3 linked regions of the Stegostoma tigrinum genome follow. Each later gene encodes a partner of the first gene's protein in a complex. Links are inferred from orthologs where the notes say so. Each region holds a gene or a part of one and is shown on either strand. Other genes may lie near its edges.

Region 1 (3,600 bases):
ACAGCCTTCGGTCTACACGCAAAACAAAAACTTTCCACGCTCTTTTACCCCCTCCCCTTTTCTTTTGTTCTAAAGCTTGTTAACCAACGTTCAGTGCAAGAGAGACAAAAACATCGCAGAGGTTGCTTTTTAAATCCTAGCCTTTTTTCTGCCTCGTCCCCCCCGAATAAACTTAAGCGAAGGCATCTCTGCAATGCGTCGGGTGTTTTTAAAATACATTCTAGTTTGTGTGCGTTTTTGTTGTTGTTTCCGTGATGCCACATGCATGTTGACGGTCGCTTTCTTACCGATTCAGCAATTTGACAAGTTACATACGGACAATGGAGTGTCAGGGAGGGTCCGAACTGAAGGAGCGATAATTTTCTTTTTTGGCGGGTTGTGTGGAGCGGGGTCGGTGGGGGTGGGGGGTTGGATTAATATCTGGTGAAGCGTGTGGAACTGATCGAAGTCACTGCAATCTTTAAAGGAATCGAGGTGTGGGGAACGTGTCACCTTCCCTGTTTAAACACTACCGTCTGTCGGAGTCAGAGGTCACCGCAAATGCAAAAAAAAACTCATGGCAGAGAATGAAAAGAAACCTTTCTGATCTAAATTGTAATGAAGCTTTTCAAACATCTGCAATCTCTCCACTTCTCCATTACCTAAAGGGTCTGAATAATTCACATCCACCGACTGCAGACAGTAACCCTTTCTTTAATGGTGGTGGGGGGGGCGAAGAGAAGGTGGCAGAAATGAGAATGGAAACATTGCCACAACATTGCAGCGTGACCATGTGGCAAACAACAATAAAAAAAGGAACTAACTAATCTAAAACCTCCACCCCCCTCCCCAACAACTTGCTGTTAAAATCCCAAATAAAACTGAATAGAAGCTTCGAGCTACGGTGAGAAATGGTGGAACTGTAGTCCAGATTTGGGGGGGGGGGAGGAATGTTGAGAAAGAAACCTGCTTGGAAATTAAGAGTTCAACAACAAGGCAACGCAGGTTGCCATTAATTCCAGCAGAACCAAACGGTGGCGACAGAAAGATCCAAAATGGGGGGGGGGGAGAAAGCGCCCGGGGGGGGGGGGGAGAGAAAAAAGCGCCGGGGGGGGGGGAGAAAAAAGCGCCGGGGGGGGGGGAGAAAAAAGCGCCGGGGGGGGGGGAAAGAGAGAAAAAAGCGCCGGGGGGGGGGAAGAGAGAAAAAAGCGCCGGGGGGGGGGGCGAAGAGAGCGCAGACATCCTGCAGAGGAGCAAGAGCCTGGCGTCGCTGGATCACCAGGCGAACAAACGATTCAAATATTGGTTGGGGAAACATGATCGCTTCGCTTCGCTTTCCTCCTCAGAATCAGCTTTACAAATACAACAAATAGGCCTGATCAACAATCACTAAAATAATTAGATGTGATCGGGCAAGGGACGGGCCGGACTGTCACCGAAACACTTCCCCATAAGCAGCTACATAAAGAGATAATCTATTAAAATAAATCAATCATTGTCCATACAACTGGGGAAATAAAACGAGAACCGTACAATGGGGATACCTTACAGCATTACCGGCCAAAAATCATAAACAAAAAAAAGTGCCTCGCGCTAACAAGGGCATAATGTTGAAGCCTAACGACCTCCTTCAGGGAAAAACGATCTTTTAAAACTTCTAAAGTCACTTACTAATCTTTTGTGAATTATATTCCTCTTGGGTCTTTCTCTGGTCATCCTGTTGTCCCAATTTTCTTTGCGAAGAAGAGAAAATTCCACATGAATCAATCTCGTCAATGTGGATAAGCCCTGGCTGGTCTATATTTACAAAGCTCCCTCTCCGTGCTTGCTCTCCTTTTGATTAAATCCGAAGTTGGGAAGAAGGAAAAAATAAATAATTCACTTCAATAAAACATCTCTTTTTCTTAAAGGCTTGTCGACACCAGGCACATTTACTGTTCCCGAGCAACACGAAGAGGACAAAGTAAAAAATAAGCTACGTATGGTGAAGTTACATCTTGGATAAGAAAAAAAAACATGGGGGAAGAGAGAGAGAAGGGGAATAAAATAATGTAGTCACGTTCTGTGCAGAGACAGACGAGAGTCTCAAACACACACACAACTCAAGCTCATACTCACACTCCCACCAATCACATCCCTTTAACTTTAAATGGCTACGTTAGGACGCTCCTGGCCACGCACACTCAGTATAGCCCCTGTCGGAGAGCTCATGAGCTGCAATATTGCCTGGGACTTCCCTTTTACCGTCTCCGTCATTCTCTGTGCTCCTCTCTCTCTCTCTCTCTCGAATCGTGTCCTTCAATGCCACGCTCACTCACTCTCCTTCCACAGTGCCCTCTGTGCAAACACAAAACACACAAATTACATTCGCATAGTGCCTTTCACAATCTTAACAATTTGCAAACAATGAAGTGCTCTTTTGAAGTGAAGTCACTGCTGTAATGCAGGAAACGCAACAAAAACAAGCTCTAGCCAGCAAGGTCCCACGGATGTGAGAATGATCAGAGAATTTTTTTGCCGGTTGAGGGATAAATATTTTTAGAAATACCCCTACTCTTCATCAGACCAGTACTATGAAACTTTGTATTTTTGTTTGCATTCACCAGAAACTCAGACATACTGTTACAGGGAACAAAGCATAAATCAGCAATTAACCCTTAGAGCTGGAACAATGAATTGCTGAACGTCGTCTTAAGCTGTACTGCCATCAATAAAAATCTGAATCACTGAATTACTTCTCACTCACAGTCGTAGTGGTACAATATGACAGAGGTTTCAATTTAATTTCTTGTCAAAAAGATAGTGAGGTTACCAAGAAGAATTATCCTTCTCAACCTCTCCCCTCACGTGAAGCATGGTGACCCTCAAGTTAAACCACCACCAGTCATCTCTCTGTAACGAGAGAGCAGCCCTATGGGCTGGTAGGACTATGGCAACATGACTTCGCCACCCTCAGTGATGCACTGACTTGTCAGTTTTGATTTTTGTCCTCAAGTCTCTGGAGTGGGACTTCAAAGTATAATTTTCTAACTCAGAGGTAATGACTGCTGTCACTGATCCACAGCTGGCACCTGTAACATCAACAGAAGTTAATGGAAAAGCTCATCAGATCTGGCACCATCTGTGAATGAAAAAAAGAGTTAATGTTTTGGGTCTGCTGACCCTTCCTCAGAACCGGAACCAAAACATTAACTCTGTTTTTCCTTCACAGATGCTGCCAGACCTGCTGAGCTTTTCCAGCAACTTCTGTTTTTCTTCCTGATTTACAGCATCCGCAGTTCTTTTGGTTTTTACCTGTAACATCAGTATGGATTACGTAAAAATGTTCATATGTGCATCCAACCTATCCTAGTTTCACACTGATGATGGAGACCTTGCCTCCCACCAGAGTAAAACAGAAAACAGTGCAACAGGATTTAAATACAAGATTCCAGTGTGAAAACAAGAAATTTAGGTTATCCCATCCTGATGGAAGCAGAAGATCACTGAGGATCCATTGCAGGTTAGTCAGCATGTGCAAAGGAGAGGACAAGTTAATGTTTCACATTGTATTGCTTGCATCAACAAACAAATACATTCAGTTTATGATTATTAGTTTCATTGAACTCAGGTACAATGTGA
Region 2 (3,600 bases), on another chromosome or scaffold:
TTATTTCAAAGCTCATGTCACATTCAAATTAAACCAAGACATAAATGCTGGTGTAAAAATTCTCTCGAACAGCATTTTACCTGTTTAGGCAGTTGTAGAGATTCAGCAGCGTGATGTACAAGATCAACAAGTAACATGAAAATATACCTAATATAATTTATTTCAAAATACATACAACTATACCACAAATTGCCATGAATAAACAGTGCTGCTAAATACACATTTTGTCATCTGTCACCTGATAAATTCACTGACTTCTTTACTAATATTAAATCGATTGTAGCTTGATTTTTGATTGCAACAACGTAAACTAATCACTACTGGTAATTTTGGACAGTTTAATTTTATTGCAATCAGCCTTTAAAATGCAAACAAATCTGAAGAATTACTCCTACCATGAGAGATCTGGAAACAAAATATATATCTGCTTATATAACAATGCAATAATTTAAATATATTTCAAAATTTATGATATCAGTCTGTCAGCCTGAAAGAAGTCATTAAGTTCCTCCCAGAATGGTCAATTTTTGCTCATAAGATGGCAAAAGCACAACTTTGTACATTTACCTACACCACAGAAATTACAATCTACAATTACGTTTTACTTACATTGTGCCGTAACAAGAATGATCTGCTCTTACTTTGGATCAAGTTACAACGATTTATGAACAGAATTGATACTAATGCTTTATCAAGTTCCAAGGACAACCAACAGCTTTGAAATCAGTTTAATTCATCTGAACATTCCCCTGGACGGCACCAACCTTCTCAGGACATCCCCAAGTACTTCACGGTCAGATTAATTTGAAACGCTCATATGTAGATTAACTATTCATCAAATTAGTTTTTAATTTGTTTATGAGCTCATGCGGTTATCAGAGGAAGGAGGGATCATTGCTTAGAAACTGGGTGAAGTCACTCCTCTTCAGAGTTCCAGATCTTTTATGCCTTAATTCACATCATCTGAATGCGATCAGTTTTGACAATACAGCTTTCCCACTGATGTGTCACCTTAGATTACATGCTTAATTACTGGTGTGGGGTTTGAGCCCACGACCTTGAGTCAGATCCAAGTTTACCAAATGAGCGAAGCTGACAGAGTCAACTTTTCATATTTAAAACGCGACGCTGAATATCAGTAACTCGGATCCAAAGTGTCAGCTGCGCGAAAACACTATTTTAAAGGCGAGATCTGCCCTATTAAAAGACAAACGTATCGCTAGTAATCACTGCTTTGCATTTCTACGAACCTGACACGATGTTACGGCAAAAGCTGTAGCTTAAAAGGCCGATGCATAAATCACATCTGCGTGGGGATTTGAAACAAACACAATGAGGGCACGTATGATTTATTCTGGACTATGACTAATCTTTTGCTTACTGAATGGCCGACATTAAAAGTCATCGGTATGACCAAGTCAACTGAGGTTACGGTTACACAGAGTTGGGCTTTTCCAGGTGTTTTTTTTTTAACTCGGAAAGCGCCATCTCATAACAAAGATGAGAACACCTCAAAACTCCCGAGAAGGCGTCGTGTAAATTTCACAGAACACTGCCGCCACCACCTCCGCTACCCCAAAAACTCCGATAAAAAGCAGGGCTAAGAGTATGTTTTCTATTTTATTTTATACTCTCCCCCAACAACAAAACCTACAAGTACCCTTTCCGACAAAAGGGCATTAGTTTGAAAGAACGAATACTTTTCGGCAATTGAATTCAAGAGCTGGGGAGACAAAAAAAGGAACGCTTTTGAATCGGGGACAGCTATTTCGGTTCTTTCAGCAGAGTACGGGACAGCAGAAGGGCAAGAGCGAGGGGGTGGGGAAGAGTCTGAATCGCCCGACGGCTGGAAGGGAGACGGTAGATAAGAGAAGAAAGGTCTCCACTGCAGCTTCGTCTGAGAAGCTTGAGCCCCGGGGTAAGACCGGAGAGTGCCTAACCCCCGCTCCCTCACCTGTCCTCTGAGTCCATGCGGCTCAGTGGTTCCCCGTCTGACGAGTTCTCCAGACTCTGCCTCCTGTTACCAGCTGCCACAGCGGCCGCCGCCTCCTCCCGGCCCCGTTGTTGCTGCTGGCCGCACCTGAGGGCCCCGGTGCAGCTTTTGGCCGCTTGTTGCTGCTGTTGAGGAAGGTTGCGGGACGGCCCGGAGTTGGAAGCCCCCGTGGCCCTGTGTCCACTTGGGGAGCCTGAAGCTTGCGGGCCGCCAGCCTCGGGCTCACTCTCCTCCTCGTCCCGCCGCTGCCGGAGTTGTTGTTGCTGTTGCTGCCTCAAAACGGCCTGGGAACGGCTACTACCAATGCCGGCGTTACCAACACCGCCGCACTTGGCTTCCGAGCGGCAGCTCTTACCAGTCCCCCCTGCTGCCACCACCGCCACCTGACTCTGAGTGTCGTTAGCGATGGCGCTGAGGGACGGAGCGGCGGCTGCGGCCATTTCCCCCGCGCGGCTCCAGCCCGGACGGTCACGTGCCACCAGCGCGCCTGCTCAGTAGGAGGGGGCGGGGCCGTGAGCGACGGGGTGGGTGCGAATCTGACTCTATGCGCCTGCGCAGTGCGCGCGTGGGGATGGGGCAAACAGGCAACAGCGCGCCTGCGTGATGATTATGGGCGGGGCGGTAGTCGACCGTTTGTGCCGCTCGTGGATTCGCAGGGATGAGGTGGGAGGTGTTTACTGTGTGTGGGCTACAACTGCAATATCCAAATTGTGGGTACGAATAGAAATTGCTGCAAAATCTCAGAGGTCTATGGAGTGAAGGTAGAGTGTCACACCGTCGCGCAGGTGTCTTAAGGCGAGCTAATAAGTGACAGAAACGTCCCATGGCGCAGAAGCTAACCTAATGATCGTTTTCAGTCCGAATGCAGGCCGTGAAAGCACAGCCTCCAGACCCTTCTGACCTCTTGGGTTTTCAGCAGCAGGTGTCAGAAAGTTACCACAGCGATGATTGACTGGCTTGTCGCGGCAGAAGTGGCGTTTTGCTCCTTCGATGTCGGCTGTTGCCATCAACGTGAAGCAAAATTCACCAAGCCTTGGGGGTTGTTCACGTTCACTTTGTTTTCTCTCCACAGATAGTACTAGACCTGCTGAGTCTTTCCAGAAATTTCAGTTTCTGTTTCTGATTTCCAGCATCCACAGTCCTTGATTTTTGTTTTTCTGTATAGAAAAACAGAACTATGAACATCGGCAAGTTGGGAAGAGCTCTGCAGTGTTTGGAAAACAGCTAAAGTTTAAGCTGTCTGAAGAAGAATCTTACTAGACTGGAAATGTCAACTTTGTTTCTGTCTCCATAGATGTTAATAGGCCTGTTGAATTTTTCAAACATTCCCTTCGTGTGTGTCAGTTAAAGTTTAAACACTATATGTCTATGTGTGCACATATCTGTGTTGTATCCCTTCCAGGTACAGTGCCAATGGTCTGGTCTCTTGCTTGTCTGTGCAACTAACATTAGAAGAAATAAATTCTGGTCATTGTTATATTTGATGTTTCATTCCAACAAGGACCTAGAGTAGGTGATGTAGTCTCTCAAGCCTGCTCTGCCATTCAACAAGGTCATTGTGCATCTGATGGTAACCTCAAACCCAAATTTCCACCTAGCCCTGATAA
Region 3 (3,600 bases), on another chromosome or scaffold:
CAGAGCCAGGACCCGGGTTCAATACCAGCCTTCAGCGACTGTCTAGATGGAGTTTACACATTGTCGCCGCGTCTGTGCAGGTTTCTGCTGTGTGGTCTGGTTTCCTCCCACAGTCCAAAGACAGACATGTTGTTAGGTGAATCAACCATGCTAAATTGCCCTGTAGAATCTAGGACATACAGGCTAGGTGGATTAGCCATGGTAAATACGGGCTTACTGGCATAGGGCAAGGGTAGGATGCTCTTTCGTGGGTGAGTGCAGACTCAATGGGCCAAAATGCCTCTTTCCATACCGTAAAGATTCTATGACCTTACTGAAAGCTTTCTGAAAGTCTAAGTAAACCACATAACACTGGCTCCCCGTTATCAACTCTACAAGTTACATCCTTACATAATTGCAGTAGATTTATCAAGCACAACTTCCCTTTTGTAAATCCACACTGACTGGTTTCTGAATGTTCTGCTATATCATTATAGTGGACTCTAATTAGTATTCCTGAACTATTGAAGTCATGCTGAGAGGTCTATAATTCCCCAATTTCTCGCTACCACTTTTCTTTTAAAAAAGTGTGGTTATATTAGCTACTTTCTAATCCACAGAAACTAATCCACAGTCTATGGAATTCCGAAAGATGACCAATGCATCCACTACGTCTCGGGTCACAACCTTACGAATGCTGTGATGTAGATTACTGTGGCCTAGGATTTATCAGCCTTCAATCTCTTCAATATCCCCAACACCTATTAATAGCGATTTCTGTCAATTGGTCCCTCCTCACTACACCCTGTTTTCCCCAACATTTTTTGGGGGATTATTTTGTATTCTTTGTAATCACAGAATGAAAAAGTGAGAGAGATACTAAGAACTGCAGATGCTAGAATCAGAGATTACAAAGTGTGCAGCTGGACGCACACAGCAGGCCAGGCTGCATCAGAGGAGCAGGAAAGCTAACATTTCTGAAGAAGGGTCCTAACATGAAACGTTAACATTCCTGCTCCTCTGATGCTGCCTGGCCTGCTGTGTGCATCCAGCTCCACATTGTTATCAAAAAGTGGTGTTAAATTGATCCACCATCTCTTGGTTCCCCATTATAACCTCAAGCCTGAGCTTATCGCCACACCTCTAAAAATTAAACCCTTAGGTTTCCCTTAAAAGCAAATAATATTAATTACTCTCAAGCCTTTCTGCTTTGGACATTTGCACCATTACCTTTACAAACTAAAGTCAATATATTATAAACAACGATAAAGAACAGCATAAATATTCATCCAATCAGCTACTTCTTCTTGCCCTCATGTCATTTTTAAACACTCTTCCCAGACAACAACAGAGCAGTGCTGCTGCAGGACACTCCAAATGAGTTAGAGTCAGTGATATAATCCCTCTTCCAGCTGCATTTTAGCTCCAACGAAGAATCACATTGCAATAACCAAATTCATCAACTTCCCACAGCTCAGCAAATTTCCAACTTAGTATGTAGCCATGTCAAAGCGCATGCAGCAAGAAAACCCAAGTTCAACAAGTTGGGCCAAGCTAATTCTGGTTACAATAGTTTGCAGAAACAACATGTTCATAGCAAGTAGGGGCAACTCTAGAAGCCACAACACGTTACCACTAATCAGAATGCAAGGTATATAAAAACTGAGCCTGATACTCAGAGACCTATCTAATAACAACCATTTGTTATTGGGATGTCGGTGCGTCGTCCATTCCAGCTCCCCAGAACCTATGGTGAGTCCGGGTTTAAATCCCGCCCACCCTCCCAAACACTCACCGCCACACCAGGCTAAACCCGGTCACGCTAATCAAGATTGGATGAAAGCCAACACCGTGGCTCCGACGAAAGACTGCCACTCTCCATGTTCTTCCCGCCGCATCGGAGGCTGCTCCTCATCCCTACCGAAGATGAGGATGCAGAGGGGAGCATACAAGAAAATGGTCACAGCTGCAGCGACCTTTCCGTTAACTACACTCACATTTTCATCCCCGGAAACGTCCGGGTTACTGTTCTCATCGCTCAATTTCTGTCTCTTAGTCGGCATGTCCCCTCGCGCCGCACTTTCCGACATTATCCGCAAAGCGGAGCCTGGCGTTGTCACAAAGTCACGTGCGCGCTACCGACTGTCGCAAAACAAAACCCATCCGATTACGTGAACGTCGAGGATGGCCTTTCTTGTTTTCGAATGTTATCCCGACCTTCTGGAAAAGCAATGTTATCTAAGGTTGTTTCAGTTCTGTGAGCAGCACAAAGCTCACGTGATGATGTCGGGTTCTTTGGCCTGTGATAATGGGAACTGCAGATGCTGGAGAATCCAAGATAACAAAGTGTGGAGCTGGATGAACACAGCAGGCCAAGCAGCATCTCAGGAGCACAAAAGCTGACGTTTCGGGCCGAGACCGTTCATCAGAAAAGGGGGATGGGGAGAGGGAACTGGAATAAATAGGGAGAGAGGGGGAGGCGGACCGAAAATGGAGAGAAAACAAGATAGGTAGAGTACAGGTGAAGAGGGGATAGGTCAGTCCAGGGAAGATGGACAGGTCAAGGAGGCGGGATGACGTGGTAGGTAGGAAATGGAGGTGCGGCATGGGGTGGGAGGAAGGGATGGGTGAGAGCAAGAACAGGTTAGGGAAGCAGAGACAGGCTGGGCTGGTTGTGTGATGCAGTGGGGGAAGGGGAAGAACTGGGCTGGTTTTGGGATGCAGTGGGGGAAGGGGAGATTTTGAAGCTTGTGAAGTCCACATTGATACCATTGGGCTGCAGGGTTCCCAAGTGGAATATGAGTTGCTGTACCTTCAACCTTCGGGTGGCATCATTGTGGCACTGCAGGAGGCCCATGATGGACATGTCGCCTGAGGAATGGGAAGGGGAGTTGAAATGGTTCGCGACTGGGAGGTGCAGTTGTTTGTTGCAAACCGAGCTGAGGTGTTCTGCAAAGCGGTCCCCAAGCCTCCGCTTGGTTTCCCCATTGTAGAGGAAGCCACACCGGGTGCAATGGCTACAATATACCACATTGGCAGATGTGCAGGTGAACATCTGCTTGATATGGAAGGGCATCTTGGGGCCTGGGATAGGGGTGAGGGAGGAGGTGTGGGGGCAACTGTAGCACTTCCTGCGGTTGCAGGGGAAGGTGCCGGGTGTGGTGGGGTTGGAGGGGAGTGTGGAGCGGATAAGGGAGTCGCGGAGAGAGCGGTCTCTCCGGAAGGCAGACAAGGGTGGGGATGGAAAAATAGCTTGGGTGGTGGGGTCGGATTGTAAATGGCGGAAATGTCGGAGGATGATGCGTTGTATCCAGAGGTTGGTGGGGTGGTATGTGAGAACGAGGGAGATCCTCTTGGGGCAGTTGTGGCGGGGGCGGGGTGTGAGGGATGTGTTCCGGGAAGTGTGGGAGACGCGGTCAATGGCGTTCTCGACCACAGCGCAGGGAAGGTTGCGGTCCTTGAAGAACGTGGATATCTCTGATGTGCAGGAGTGGAATGCCTCATCCTGGGAGCAGATGCGGTGGAGGCGGAGGAATTGGGAATAGGGGATGGAATTTTTGCAGGAGGGTGGGTGGGAGGAGGCGTATTCTTGGTAGCTGTGGGAGTCAGTGGGCTTGAAAT

Evidence for each region. Proteins that work in one complex are often made in the same cells at the same time.
Region 2: the proteins of jarid2b (region 1) and aebp2 are in contact, whole or in part, in a cryo-EM structure (PDB 8VNZ), measured with the Homo sapiens proteins. The link is inferred for Stegostoma tigrinum from reciprocal best matches to the Homo sapiens genes JARID2 and AEBP2. Residues at the interface, in NP_004964.2 of Homo sapiens: Ser148, Lys151, Pro152, Lys153, Thr154, Glu155, Asp156, Leu158, Thr159; in NP_001107648.1 of Homo sapiens: Arg407, Ala410, Ile411, Asn414, Leu415, Glu420, Ser421.
Region 3: the proteins of jarid2b (region 1) and eed are in contact, whole or in part, in a cryo-EM structure (PDB 6C23), measured with the Homo sapiens proteins. The link is inferred for Stegostoma tigrinum from reciprocal best matches to the Homo sapiens genes JARID2 and EED. Residues at the interface, in NP_004964.2 of Homo sapiens: Pro109, Gln114, Arg115, Lys116, Phe117; in NP_003788.2 of Homo sapiens: Pro95, Phe97, Tyr148, Arg306, Asn307, Tyr308, Cys324, Asp362, Ile363, Trp364, Tyr365, Arg414, Asp430.

Annotation. Positions count from the first base shown.
Region 1 is NC_081355.1:36,933,793-36,937,392, reverse strand, and holds the start of jarid2b (protein Jumonji), read right to left. Parts: upstream 2,219-3,600; 5' UTR 2,098-2,218; intron 2,092-2,097; exon of another isoform or gene 1,813-2,091; 5' UTR 1,696-1,812; coding exon 1,651-1,695; intron 1-1,650.
Region 2 is NC_081378.1:44,628,035-44,631,634, reverse strand, and holds the start of aebp2 (zinc finger protein AEBP2), read right to left. Parts: upstream 2,463-3,600; 5' UTR 2,434-2,462; coding exon 1,955-2,433; intron 1-1,954. UniProt on the Homo sapiens protein: Acts as an accessory subunit for the core Polycomb repressive complex 2 (PRC2), which mediates histone H3K27 (H3K27me3) trimethylation on chromatin leading to transcriptional repression of the affected target gene.
Region 3 is NC_081359.1:53,542,587-53,546,186, forward strand, and holds the start of eed (polycomb protein eed), read right to left. Parts: upstream 2,173-3,600; 5' UTR 2,070-2,172; coding exon 1,977-2,069; intron 1-1,976. UniProt on the Homo sapiens protein: Polycomb group (PcG) protein. Component of the PRC2/EED-EZH2 complex, which methylates 'Lys-9' and 'Lys-27' of histone H3, leading to transcriptional repression of the affected target gene.